Linked DNA regions of Arabidopsis thaliana. The main gene of each other region encodes a partner of the protein of the gene in region 3 in a complex. Each region holds a gene or a part of one and is shown on either strand. Other genes may lie near its edges.

The links.
Region 1: AT5G19480 (region 3) and GCT share a complex: the UniProt entries of both Arabidopsis thaliana proteins name them as parts of the mediator complex.
Region 2: AT5G19480 (region 3) and AT3G52860 share a complex: the UniProt entries of both Arabidopsis thaliana proteins name them as parts of the mediator complex.

Annotation. Positions count from the first base shown.
Region 1 is NC_003070.9:20,635,513-20,640,592, reverse strand, and holds the start of GCT (RNA polymerase II transcription mediator), read right to left. Parts: upstream 3,214-5,080; 5' UTR 3,000-3,213; coding exon 2,976-2,999; intron 2,895-2,975; coding exon 2,821-2,894; intron 2,728-2,820; coding exon 2,588-2,727; intron 2,502-2,587; coding exon 2,415-2,501; intron 2,254-2,414; coding exon 2,166-2,253; intron 2,077-2,165; coding exon 1,999-2,076; intron 1,752-1,998; coding exon 1,674-1,751; intron 1,585-1,673; coding exon 1,505-1,584; intron 1,252-1,504; coding exon of another isoform or gene 1,197-1,251; intron 1,101-1,196; coding exon of another isoform or gene 1,066-1,100; coding exon 987-1,065; intron 878-986; coding exon 551-877; intron 310-550; coding exon 250-309; intron 6-249; coding exon 1-5. Other genes in the region: AAE18 (acyl-activating enzyme 18), read right to left, coding at 3,934-4,050, 4,144-4,353, 4,447-4,545, 4,638-4,763, 4,840-5,056. UniProt on the Arabidopsis thaliana protein: Component of the Mediator complex, a coactivator involved in the regulated transcription of nearly all RNA polymerase II-dependent genes.
Region 2 is NC_003074.8:19,591,135-19,594,587, reverse strand, and holds AT3G52860 (mediator of RNA polymerase II transcription subunit-like protein), read left to right. Parts: upstream 1-1,819; 5' UTR 1,820-1,846; coding exon 1,847-2,066; exon of another isoform or gene 2,067-2,256; coding exon 2,257-2,372; intron 2,373-2,455; coding exon 2,456-2,590; 3' UTR 2,591-2,740; downstream 2,741-3,453. Other genes in the region: AT3G52870 (IQ calmodulin-binding motif family protein), read left to right, coding at 1-23, 110-256, 354-446, 575-676, 783-1,223; VSR1 (vacuolar sorting receptor homolog 1), read right to left, coding at 2,898-2,993, 3,093-3,205, 3,298-3,426. UniProt on the Arabidopsis thaliana protein: Component of the Mediator complex, a coactivator involved in the regulated transcription of nearly all RNA polymerase II-dependent genes.
Region 3 is NC_003076.8:6,569,639-6,574,266, reverse strand, and holds AT5G19480 (mediator of RNA polymerase II transcription subunit), read right to left. Parts: upstream 2,767-4,628; 5' UTR 2,440-2,766; coding exon 2,412-2,439; intron 2,324-2,411; coding exon 2,031-2,323; intron 1,883-2,030; coding exon 1,679-1,882; intron 1,570-1,678; coding exon 1,510-1,569; intron 1,377-1,509; coding exon 1,338-1,376; 3' UTR 644-1,337; downstream 1-643. Other genes in the region: AT5G19485 (transferases/nucleotidyltransferase), read left to right, coding at 85-201, 295-360; AT5G19473 (RPM1-interacting protein 4 (RIN4) family protein), read right to left, coding at 3,587-3,637, 4,493-4,628. UniProt on the Arabidopsis thaliana protein: Component of the Mediator complex, a coactivator involved in the regulated transcription of nearly all RNA polymerase II-dependent genes.

The sequences.
Region 1 (5,080 bases), on a different chromosome or scaffold from region 3:
CAGCCCTGCATAAAATAAAGTTCACATATACAGGGATCATGGACAGACTGTTATAATGAAAAACAAAATCGTTACGTATAACATTGGAACAAAACTCGGAAATGCCACAGCTCTCACTCCTATGGTGCTTCAAATAATGAAGATTACAAAACATTCGGTTTCTCAGAACAGTTTGGGCATTTCAAGACCTCTGTTTTGTGGATTTCTTTTGATCTTCAAATGTCGACGAGATAGATGAAAAAGACTCACCAGTGCATAAACAAAGATGAGCCTGCTAGTGACGGGCCTATCCAGTTTTGAAGCCAAAATCTGCAAGTATGATTTCACCTTGCATCAGCTCCAAGCTGAGGAAAGATCACAACTATTACATCTATTTAACATGGGTCTGAAACAATTACTAAAACTTCCACTACGATCACACAGAGTCAATTTGTTTTAATACATACATGGAATTCAACAGAAACGAAATAAATTTTATGTATAGCCAATCTGGATCTTACCGTTAAGTACTCAATGAATTCTAAATAACCACCTCACCTAGTCAATTTACCTTTTCAAAGAAAATTTCGCAAATGCCGACTGTAAGATTGGTACAAGCACTGCCTCAGCTGGATAGATGAACTTTTTTTCACAAACTGATGAAAGATCTGATTGTCCTTTACGGTGATCTTTACTCCCAACTGAAGGTTCAGGACACTGGTTATGGGGCAAGTTAACTGCAAAGGTCGAATTAGCTTGACTTGTGTTGTCATTTCTATTTTGGCAGCAACCAAGTGTAACTTCCACGTAGCAATGATTGCCATTTATCAGACGGGACCCACGACCAATATGAGAAGGGAGACCAACATATCCAGTCGAAGTTTTTAAGTTTCCAGAACTGTGTGAGAAAAAAGTATTAGTTGAGAAAATTGGATTAATCAGATTAACGGCTACGCACTCACAAAAAATGTTGACTTGGCATTCGAAAGCAAAGGTATGAAATGTACCTGAAGTAGACTTGCTTGACAAGGTCATTGGGACAGAATCCAGTAAGGCTGCCCCGCATTCCATGAGGAGAAACAATAACTGGTGGGAATAACATAGGCCTGTGAGAAGTGTTTCTATCAAATAAAAAGCTCTTATCTTTCTTTAAGCATGTGTAGAAGGCGGATTTCATTTCAGGTATCAATTCAAAAAGTTTGGCTTCATAGAATTACATGTAGCATAATCTATTATCCTCACTCTTGGCCAATCCCAAACATTTACGAAAAGCTCTTGTGACATGCAAAAAAATGAGGTGTTAAATCTTTGCTTGATGAAGCTAGGTAGCAGTAGCACTAGACTACACTAGGTTTCTTTTTGGAGTGGATGCATTGAAAATTGAGTTCAAAATGCTCTCAATCTATACAGTATTCTAACAGTACAAAGCAAGAAGAGGTCAACAAACATCTAGAACTAGTTCCATCAAAATCGTAGACAAGTAGGATAATTTATCAATCCAAATGATGATGGAAAAATAACTAACCTGGAAGCCTATAACTGGAGTTTTTCAAAGAACTCCTTAACATTCTTTCAGCATCGCCACTTGAAAGTGTGCGGACATTCCTTCGTGCATAAAATATTATAGTTAGTTTCAATAACTATGTGAAGCACTAAACCATAACTGAAACAGTATAACAAAAAGCTTTACGGACTTGGCAGATATAATGACATGGACAAAAACTGCCTCTTCGGTAGCAGCAAAGATGAATTCAACAGTAGGCTGTCCCCTCCTACATAAATATCCACAGAGCATTAGCGAGCCACAGAGCATTAGCGAGCCACAGACCTAATCATAGAATTCTTTGGATTCTAAGAATTACACTCAGGAAACCTAGGTCTCACAGACCCTATTTAATGAAAGCTATAGGATAATACATAATCGAAAAGCCATAGAGAAAAAAGACGATATATTTGCTAATAAACCATCAGAGATTATAACGCATGGTCTCGCTTATATTGGTAAGAGGTTGCAGATACCTCAAATATTCTTCGCTTTGAGGGCTGAATTTTGAAAACACATCTCCAAATCTCATGTAGGAAATTCCAGATAATGCTCTGTGGCGATATCAAACAAGTTAATATGATACTCTAATCCATTATTTCCTTAATCCAACCATTATGTCTGCAGATAATAAAAAACTAACCTTTCGATGCAATTACGTAAAGACTGTGAAAAGGCAACTGATATCTCTTCAGAGTCCCCAGGTGCTACCCAAATTCCTGACGCAACAACTTTCAACAGGAGAAAAAGAAAAGTAAGGACAAGTATACCAAGATAACCATAGACCACAGGCATGTTCACTAAACAGTCATAATCAGAATAGAGACAATATGTTTGAATCTATTGAGGCGACAAAATACGATGAAGAAAATAAATCATAAGGAGAATATACCTCTAAGCTTTGACACAGCAGCCTGAGCTTTATCAGATATTGATGAATGACGCCCAGGTAGAAAAAGCCAAAGCTTAATCTTTTCATCTGAGCAGCAGCGAGGAATGATGGTTAGATACAACTGTAAATAAAGTTACAAAATTTAAAAGTACCAGATTGAGATTTAGCATTACCAGGGTTGTATAAACCTTGAGATGGATCCCAAGGTCCAACAAAAGAATTGGTCCAAGTGGTAAGAAACCCTTCCTTCTGCAACCGTAGATGAGAGGAAAGTACAAGATATGTTGCAACTTCATTCTGCTCAGCTCTTGAACTGAAAAAAAAACTCCAGAGTGACCAGACTAATTAGTACAATGTCAATAAGGAAAAACTAAAACAACCCATTGAAAAAGCTTAAAGCTTTAACCTTCTATCAAAGCCAGGATTCAGCTCAGTTTCACTTGGAAGAAACTGAAACCAAGAAACATTATGTAGACCACCCTGTAGAAGAAAAATCATCATGTATTACCAATAAGTCAATTTTCACACACAATGGGAAAAAGATGATAGAATAAGACTTACAATTCTGAAAACATTAGTCCACATCACTTGGGGATAGATACAACAAGTTCAATCCTTTTTTTTCTTCAAATTATAGGCTATAACCCCAAAATCATCGTCTTGAAGCGCTCGGAATTGGAAGACGTTGTCAATTTCTAGCTCGATCTTCTCTTGATGTTGCGAGGTTTATATCTCTCTTTTGATCAAAACTCTTCAATACATCATAATCATCTCAACACGAAATCTCTCGTGGTTTTCATAAAACCAGATCCAAACGCGCTCTTTAGGGTTCTTTTTTTTTTGTTGCTCTTACTAATTCTTTTTTTTTCTGTGGCCCAATTTGTTTTAGTCAGGCCCAATTCATTATTTTCACAACACTCTGGTTCAAAAAAAAAAACCGCCAACCACAAGCATCATAAAAGAGTTTCCTCCAAATAAGGTGTTTAATATCAAGTGTTTTTGAAGTTTTGGTATTAAGATCTCATTCTTTCGAGTTTGTTTGACTTGCATCAATCAAATGAACCAAACAATGCTATGGTTTTACTTTATATTTTCTAGATTTTGTATACCACGATATAGCTAGACCTCGAATGATCTTAACGCTATCTTTGTATCGTTGGGTGCGGCTAGTTGTCTTCTGGTTCCATAGGTCATTCGTGGTGATACTATTCAGATGTCTCAAAGCCTTATGGGATGTATGAGTATCGTCCGAAATATTTTTACAAATTTAAACAAAAGATAATCTTGAGGAAAATTAAGATTATAATCTGATATGAAATATATACACCAAACACAAACACAAACATAACAAAGTCAAAGTGTTTAGTCATGTAAATGTGAATCAGGCTAGAGAATTCAAGGACCGGTAGATTTGATTTAATCGGTTTTCTTATTTGGACCGAGCAGTACCCAATCATGTGTAGATCAACTACTACTCAGCAGATCTTATTTTATTCTAGTTAAACTTAAGATCAAGGCTTTATATTCGACTTCGTAAGGATAGTAGTTCTTGCTTAATCTGATCTCTCAAGACTCTTCTCAGTAGCTTGCTAGAAGCTGTTCTTGGAAACTCCGGCACAATCTTCACAAAACTCACCTGCAATATTTTTGCAAAATCCATTTTTAAGCACACAAAAAATCTTATAATAACTTTGAATTTATAGAAAAACTCATCAAAGATATTGATTACCTTGAAGAGAGGATTAAGATCTTTTTGAATGGTTCTTGAAAATTTCATCTTTAGCTCTTCTCCACTCTGTTGCTTGAACCCTTCTTTCAAGACTGCGAATATGACCAGCAACTCTGGACCACCGTTAGGTGGTGTTAAGGTGACTGCAGCTGTCTCAGAGATGCACTCATCAGCTTGATCACACACACGTTCGATCTCAATAGAACTCGTCTGCGTTATAACAGATAAACAAAAGATGAAAACTTGAGAAAAGTTCCAACTCTAATCGAAGTTGGGTATATAGACATACAATGTATGTAGTACCTTAATGCCTCCAAGGTTCATGGTATCATCAGCTCTACCTTGAACATTGTAATATCCTCCAACAGTTCGCTTCACAATGTCACCGTGTCTTCTAAGTCGCTGCAGAACGCAACAGAACAGAGGAATCGTTTAACTGACGTAAGTTTGCAATTTTGTTTAGATGTAAATATAGAAGTTCTAAAACTACTCACTGTTTCCTTATACATGGGCATTCCCTTGAAGTAAACCTCGTCGTGATTTGCATTCAGAAGTCTATCCGTGGCCCCAAGGTGCTGGGGGAACAAACCGACTTCTCCAGTACATGGTTGATCATCCGGCTGCAAAAACCAGTCTACATCAATCTCTGGATATTCTAAGAAAATACTCCAAATGTCTAAAGTTTCAGTTTGTCACATATGGGACGCCATTTTCATCGAAGATGATGATTCTAGTTGTCATGGATGGTGTGCTAAACGCTCCAAAAGCCTGCGGTTGAAGAGGGCTTCCTATGATGTATGACGAAGCAAGTTCCGTGCCTCCACAGCATTCGATCACAGGTTTGTAATCAGCTTTAGAAGAAAGCCAGAGAACATCGTCAACATTGGAAGCTTCTCCTGTAGTGGCGAAAAACCTAACAAAACACAACAGCTTCTAA
Region 2 (3,453 bases), on a different chromosome or scaffold from region 3:
AATGCATTAGATATCTTGGACCTGTATGTGCCATTTTTTCCTCTCTTATGTCAATATTGGTTTTACTTGTTTTTGGGATTTCTCTCATATAAGCCTTTTCTGGTATCAGCAAGAGAGGGAAGAGTATGAGTATGTGATCATAGAAGGGAAGATTGTTCACAAGTTAACTGGAAAGTTCTTACACACAATGCATGGATCGGAAGGAACAAAATGGATCTTTGTTATGAGTACTTTCAAGAAACTCTATGCCGGTCTGGTAAGTTAAAACCGTTATATCTTTCTATTGGTGATGAATTGATATTAGTATTGAAAAAGATTCTAATGGTTCTTTTCTTTGTTTATGTTTACTTCAGAAAAAGAAAGGAAGGTTCCATCACTCAAGCTTTTTGGCTGGAGGAGCTACATTAGCTGCTGGGAGGGTGATTGTTGACAATGGAGTTCTCAAGGTAACTTACTAAGGCCACGTCCTTTTCTTAGAGTGGTTGAGATACATGTTCATTCATATCAACTTTTTTATTATGTCTGCCTTCTGTGATTTCTCTGTTTGATCGTTCTGTTTTCGGTTTAATCTCAGACAATCTCTGCATATAGCGGACATTACAGGCCGTCAGACGATAGTCTCGACACATTTCTCGGGTTTCTCAGAGAGAACGCAGTGAACCTAGACAATGTTGAGGTAATGCCCTTGTTCTAATCTTGGCTGGTGAATGATATCATTAACTAGAGTTTGGTTGTTTAGAAAAAGAGACTACTTGAGAGCTAATATATCTATGTATGTGTAGGTGCATAAAGCTAGTGAAGATTCTGACAGCTACGATGATTATGTTAAATCCAACGGAGGATCTGAACCGGAACCGTTAAAGAAAGAGGACACAACATTCCAAGCAGAGACTGAAACAGATGAGAACGGTAACGGAACAGTGGGAACACTTGAGGAGGCAAAACGGAGTAGCTACCAGAGAACACTCTCAGGTGGACTTGGGAGTCCAAAAGCTAACGTGCCGCAGAAATCTATGCTACTAAGGATAAACTCAAAGAAACAGTCAAGATCATTACAATTGGGACATCAGTTGTCACTGAAATGGTCGACAGGAGTTGGTCCAAGAATCGGTTGTGCAGCTGATTATCCGGTTCAGCTCAGAACACAGGCTTTGGAGTTTGTTAACTTGTCTCCTAAATACCGGAGTAGCAGACTTTCTCCGACCGGGAAGCTTGATGTCTGATCATATGTTCCGTACTTCCTTATGTAGTAGTAAATGAGAATCTTTCTTCTGTAACTAATGTGTGAGTTCTCTATCTAAGGTTTTTGTTGTCATCTTTTCACATGGATGATTGTGAATCAGAAGGAAGAGAATGAGAGATGTGTTAAAAGCTATTTTCACTGATAATGAAGAGAATGGTTACAGTATTTAGTCAATCGCTTACTCATTTTACAAATTTCATTAGAAAATCCATAGCTAAAAAATCTTTAAGTAAGGATGTAACTTATCTAATTTGATGGAGATAAAAAGTTACATAAGGAATCAAAATTTGTTACAAAAGCCATCATCTGTTATATCTTGTGACATCAAATCAAGAGTAAAGTATCAGAAAATGTTGTTCCTTCTCCTTACTATTGTTTTTTCATATGAAATAAATGATTTACTTCATATATTTATTAAAAATGAATTTTCAGTGTTTTCAATTAATTACATCAAAATGATATTCTTAAGAACAATTAAGAATGTGGAAAAGGCCCAATAAGCCCAAATTAAATCCAGTAAATGGGCCCCCATTATAATATTTTTCACTAAACCTTATGGGCAAACAAACAAGCAGAGAGAAAGAGAGATCGAGATCGGCGTGAATGGATTATCAGCAAAAGCCGCCGCAGTCTTCTGACCCTTCGCCGTCACCGCCTGACCGTCCACCGGGAATCAGATCACCGGAGACCCCCTCGAACAATCAGAATAATGACATAGAGGACATTATGGCTTGCGTCACAGCCTTGGAAGCTGCTCTGTTACCATGTTTGCCGGCGAGAGAGCTTCAGGCCATCGATCGCTCTCCTCACCCTTCTCATCAAAGTCAGTCCCTTTTCTACTCTCCAATTTCACCATTCTAGGGTTTTAGTTTGAATGATAGTTTGGAAGTTGTGTTTGTTTTTGTGCTTAACTTATGATCTCAGTGAATTTTGTGCTTAGAATTCAGTTGAAACCGAAGCTTTGATTCCATATTCGATGTTCTAGCTTAATTCCCCTCATTGAACTGCTGCAGTTGATGTGGAGCGGCACGCCAGAGATTTCATGGAAGCTGCGAAAAAGCTTCAGCTTTACTTCATGGGACTAAAGCGAGAAGATCGCGCGCCCTCGAGAGCTGAAAGCCTTAAGAAGGTGTGGTTTGATTTACCAATGTGAAAACTCCAAACACATATTGTCTTACCAGTTTCTGCTCTCTTCTGTTCTGTTCTTAACAGGATATTGCAGTAATGGAGGAAGAGCTTAAGACAAAAGATGAGCTTATAAAGAAGCACATGAGGCTTTTCCAAGAGTCGCAGAAGCTTGTGAAAGAACAGATTGAGAAACACAGAGATGAGCTGGAGAAAGTTTAACAATCTCTCAATCAAAGTTTATTGTTTTTCTTCTTATGGATCTTAAGTTAGTTTCAACAGTAAATAATGTAACACTCATTATTCATCCAGTTATGTCTATTTTACATTGTAAGAGTAATATGCAGACAAAAAGGAGATTCCATCTGCAAATCCACATTTCTTACAAATAGTGCAGGTACACTTATTTCTGTTTGTGGCTTTTTTCTTTTCTCTAGAGTTGTATCAAGTCCATTGATTCATTTACATGGAAACTTAAAGCTACTCATAGAAAGAGAGAGAGTCTCTTGGCTTGTGTTGATAACTTCACTCATATATCCATATGGTGACCACTTGTGTTGGGTGGTTGACTTTCCAATGGCATGTACTGTGCCATGATCCCTCTAATTTCCGCATCCATGTAACTCTGCATAATTTCAATTGTTACTTAGCATCTCTATCTAGACCGCAAAATCTTCCTATGTTTTAATATGATAACAAGACCAGAGTAAAGAACATCGTATACCCTGATTCTGTATTTGTAGACTGCATATCCAGAAAGACCTGCAACACCCACCCCGATTATAAGGATCCACAAAAAGCTCCAGCTGAGTTTTGTGGTTCCAACTTTGCCTGAACCTACACATTCACCAGATTCAAAAGCAGAAAGTCTGATTAATGACTCCAAATTAAGTATGGGGCTAGGAGGAAGGAAGATCTATTTCTTTTACCTATGCAAGTGTCGTGCTCACGCATGTAAAGCAAACCGTTGCTGCAGCTGCATTCATAACTTCCCCAAGTGTTTTTACATTTACACTCTGGGCACTGGCACACCGTTTTTTCTTTGCACTCGTCCACATCTAACACATTCAATCAAAAGAATATGA
Region 3 (4,628 bases):
TAATTAGCTTTTTACTCAAGCCAGCCAAAGAAAGGTGGTGTACATCTCGAAAAGACACTCAACTGCTTGTATATGTGGGTGCAGATTGTTAATTCAGTTGTGATGGACCATGCCACAATTGGAGACGGATGTTCAATACAAGGCTCAGTCATTTGCAGCAACGCACAGCTTCAAGAGCGTGTTACTCTAAGAGACTGCCAAGTACGTTACCCCCTTCAGTTTTCATAATACAGTGTCCCCTACGTATCAATGCTTTTACAGATTCCATAATCAAAACATCAATTGGTTTTATAGGTGGAAGCAGGGTATGTTGTTTGTGCCGGGAGTGAGCACAAAGGAGAGACCTTTGCTAGAAAATGAAAAGGAAGGATAAGCAAATGAGGTCACATCTTGGAACGCTTTTTTAAAATGAAAAGCAGCATTACTTAGTCATTCGTTTGGTAGGAGAGAAGAGTGTGAAGGATTGGAAAGTTTCCCACTAAGGGTTTTGTTGATTAAGAGTTTGAGATTTTCCGTTAGTATCTTTTACTGATAGAGTTTGATCTTTTGCTATTCATTACATATACATGAAGTCTTGAAACACTTTGTCAGCCACTGACCCTTCTCTCTGTTCCGTTGGTTATATTACATATGTCTTTTTTTGTTCTTCTCATTATTTACTCTTTTGTTCGAGATAAAACACTTTCCTGAAAGATCTAAATTTTGTTTTTGGTATTTCCATAGAGACGAATACACCCAAAAAGTCACATGCCTTCAGATTCGATAAATTTCAGAGTAAATGATTTCGAATGTATGAAACCTTTCTGTTTAAATAGTCACGAGAATAGATAAACTTCATAGCTTGTTTAAAGTGTAACAAAATGTACAAGTTGTGATTCTTCTTGGCGAACTTTTCGTTGCTTAACCCCTCCTAACTTCTCCCACAATGCAATTTTTATTTAGAGATTAAACCTGCAAAACCAAATCCAAATCATTTTATGTTATGTTGAGACAAATCTACACCATATAGAAACATTTCTAATTATTTGAGACTCCAAAATAAAGTTAGTGCACTCTCGGTCGCTAGAGTTCCAGGTTATCTTCTTATAAGCCTTAGACAATAATTATTTCTTCATGTTTAAAACAACCATAGCTTTGTTGACTCAATCATATTCATCATGTACAGTACCGTTGGTTATGACAGACGCAGCCCCATATGAGAAACGTGCGTTATCTAAAGATGAGAAGATGACTCTAGTGACCGAGTTACCTAACAAAGTTAGCTGCTTCTAAGCCTCTCCATGACACCTTGGGTGTGCAATACAAAAATGAAAGTGTGCACGGCTTCAGCCTCCAACCTACATCGCTCCCATCTCATCAAGCTTTGAGCTCTTATGCTGCAAAAAAGTTAATTTTAGGGCCGACAAAAATAAAATTTGCAGAGCAACACCAATGTGCGAGTAACCAGAAACTTCTAAATTCAGCTTCACTAAAAAGAAGGAGATGCCTCCATTGCCATTAGTATATTACCTTACTCTTTTTGTGCCTCTGAACGTCATCAGCATCTTCAGTCCCATTGTTCTTCCTTTTCTGAAAGTAAAGTGATAGCGTATACCACGTCAATTCTATCGAATTTAAGAATCCAAAATATACATATATAGACGGCCTAGGTACCAACAAGAGCAGACAGTTTTATAACCTTATCATGGTGTCCACTTTTTTCCTTCTTTTTGTCTCGATCCTTGTCTTTATCCTTATCTTTGATCCTATCTTTATGCTTGTGCTTGTGCTTCTTATGTTCCCTATCTTTCTCCTTCTTGTCTTTATGTTTTCTATGTTTCCTATCCTTATCTTTTGACTCACTTTTTGATTTTGATACAGTGGTAGGAGCTCCCTTCTCTGCCTGAAATAAGAACAGGAGATCTCATATTCTCAAACCTAGCTCAACTATCATCACAAGATACTTGGAAGTAATTCAACTTATCATGGTTAGTAAAAGATCTAGATGTTACAGGAAGTTAAAATCTAAACAGAGAGAGCAATATTCTTACTGGAGGCAATTCAACAGGAGCTGTATCATTAAGCTCAAAAGCCTCCTTAAGTTCATCAAGAACAAAAGGTTGGATGCGAGCATTCGTATCTCGGCTACTAAGTGATGCATTAGGAATAAGCTGATCTAATTGCATTCCTTCTCCTTTTCTAATCTCTGTGTCTCCAACCAAATTATGAAGATAATGAGCATCTGACAGTGACTCTGGAAGTGATCTCTTGCAAAAGAATTCATGGTGTGGCAACAACTTGTATTGTGTTATAAGATCTAGTGCACCACCCAATTCTCTAGGACCTGCACTTAGAAACCCAGAAGCTCATTGACCCTCAAATCCCAAAATAATAAAACTTGACAAAAATCAAAGCTTGGAAACCAAATTTACCTCCAAACTTAACGCTCTCTGATTCCATATTTTTTTGTTGTTGTTGATTAAACTGCAATTATTGGAATTTGAAAACCAAACAAGCCAAAGCTCAATAAGCTCAAGATTTGACGAAAAGCGAAAACAAAGCTGAAGCAAAGATCAATCACCGCCATACATGACTTCACGAGGCAGATCTCATCGCAACCCAGAGATATAAACCCTAATCTGGAAAACGGATTGCTCTTGGTCGTGAATTTCCCGCGGGAATATCGAGGAACGTTCGAGAAGGAAGTAACTAGGGTTTGAGAATGGATTAGGAGTTTCCTCAAACAATGGCGTTATAAAATCGCGATTTCTTTTTCTTCTTCTTCTGTTTTTTTTTCGTCCAAAATTTTGTTATTTATACGGGTTACCGCGTGGGGTTCACGCGCTTCATAGTGCGTATGATCAACTTTACAGATTTCACAACGACTTTTTTTACATTTGTATTTTTATTTTAATAAAAATTTCAATTTTCTTATAATTTGCATTTTTAATCACATAGTTAAAAAAAAAAAAAAATGCTAATATAGCCGTCAAATAATTTTTGTTGCAATCGTCAATAGCCACCGATTAAGACGGTGGTCAACTTGTTAGTGGATATGGCCACGATTAGGTGGTGGCACTCAGTTGCAAGATAGCCACTGTTTTTCATATGGTCATATGTATGTGTATTTGTGGCCAAATAATTAAGACCAATTTGCTAAGGCCAAAAAGTGATTCGTTTAGTCATTGCTATTGTTCGGATCCTTTATATTGAAGTTGGAGAATGATTAACCAAAGCTAAAATCACCCAAATGGCCAAATCGTACCAGCAATCAATGCATGATTTCTTAACTCTTGTTTCTAAAACTATGATCATCCGACAATTCTCAATTTATCGAAGATTAGTTAAATGGATTCTGCATCTGACGGTTTGGTTAAGTCATGTTTTATTTTGTTCTCGTATGATGTAGGAAGAAGTCAAAATGTATCACAACACAACACAACCAGGGGTATCTTAATAGATGATGCACATAGAACAGAACGTTTTTTTTTTTTGTGTGTGATAAAGAAGATTACAGAAACGTTACACTACTGTCTTTACACACTTGAGACATATTTGCTATATCGCTGAAGAGAGAAAGATTCCGACTTTGTAGAAGAACAAAGCCCTAGTTTGGCCTTATACAACAATTAATGTAGGTCAAGATCCTCTTCTTCTTCTGCATGGTAATTAAATTAGTAATGTTAGAGAGACTTATGACGGTGACAACATGCTTCCTCTTAATACATTTCACATATTGCATAATGCTTCGTATAACAAGGTGATTTCGACTGTTATACAAACTAGAGATGGAGTTTTCATATTCGCTCTAGAAAAGCAGTGTACATTTCGTTCATGTTTGCCTCTTCAAAGTTTGGAGGCTCCAAGCAAAACAAATTTATGTAACTCCCAACATATAGTTAAAACATAATGCAAAGATTATAATATGATTCAGACTTTTAGTTGGTTTAATTATATTTTTATCTAACAATAGAAGTAATGAAATTTAGCTTAGGTGGGAATATAATGTTAAAATATGGTTGCTTATTGAAATGTTATGGAAAAAATGCAAAAAAAAAAACAAAGTTTTCCTAACAAATAAAAAGAAAGTAGAAAATGGGAAAATGGAAACGAACTATAAATTCATTGTTCGAACAAAACACATCATTTCAAAACCATGGAAACAAACTGCAAGCCAATACACTATAACATCAAATTTAAAGATACACTATCATTACATATTCATAAATGAGACCTGATACTATGATGCATGTATTAACTCATAATTAAGTTGAATAACATTCATGGTTCAATTATGTCTCTGAGTTAAGAAAGAAATGGAATGAAATATTCTTTTTAGGCGCATGCAAAAACACAAAACAAACAAAAGACGCAAAGAGAAAATCAATTCCTGAATTGTTATACCACCTTGTGATGATCCATGCGCGTTGACTAAGGGGAAAAGGATCATCACAAGGTGAATATGAACCAAAGAATCCATGGAAGAGTAAGTAGAGAGAGATAATTTAATTACCATGACAGGGTCATCGTCTTGAGTTTCATGGCGATGGTGAAGTTGTTGGTGGTTGCGACGAACACTTACCATGAGTTCTTGTTCGCTTCCCAAACTAGAATGTCTTACACCAGCTTTGTTCTGCTTCCTGTTTGCG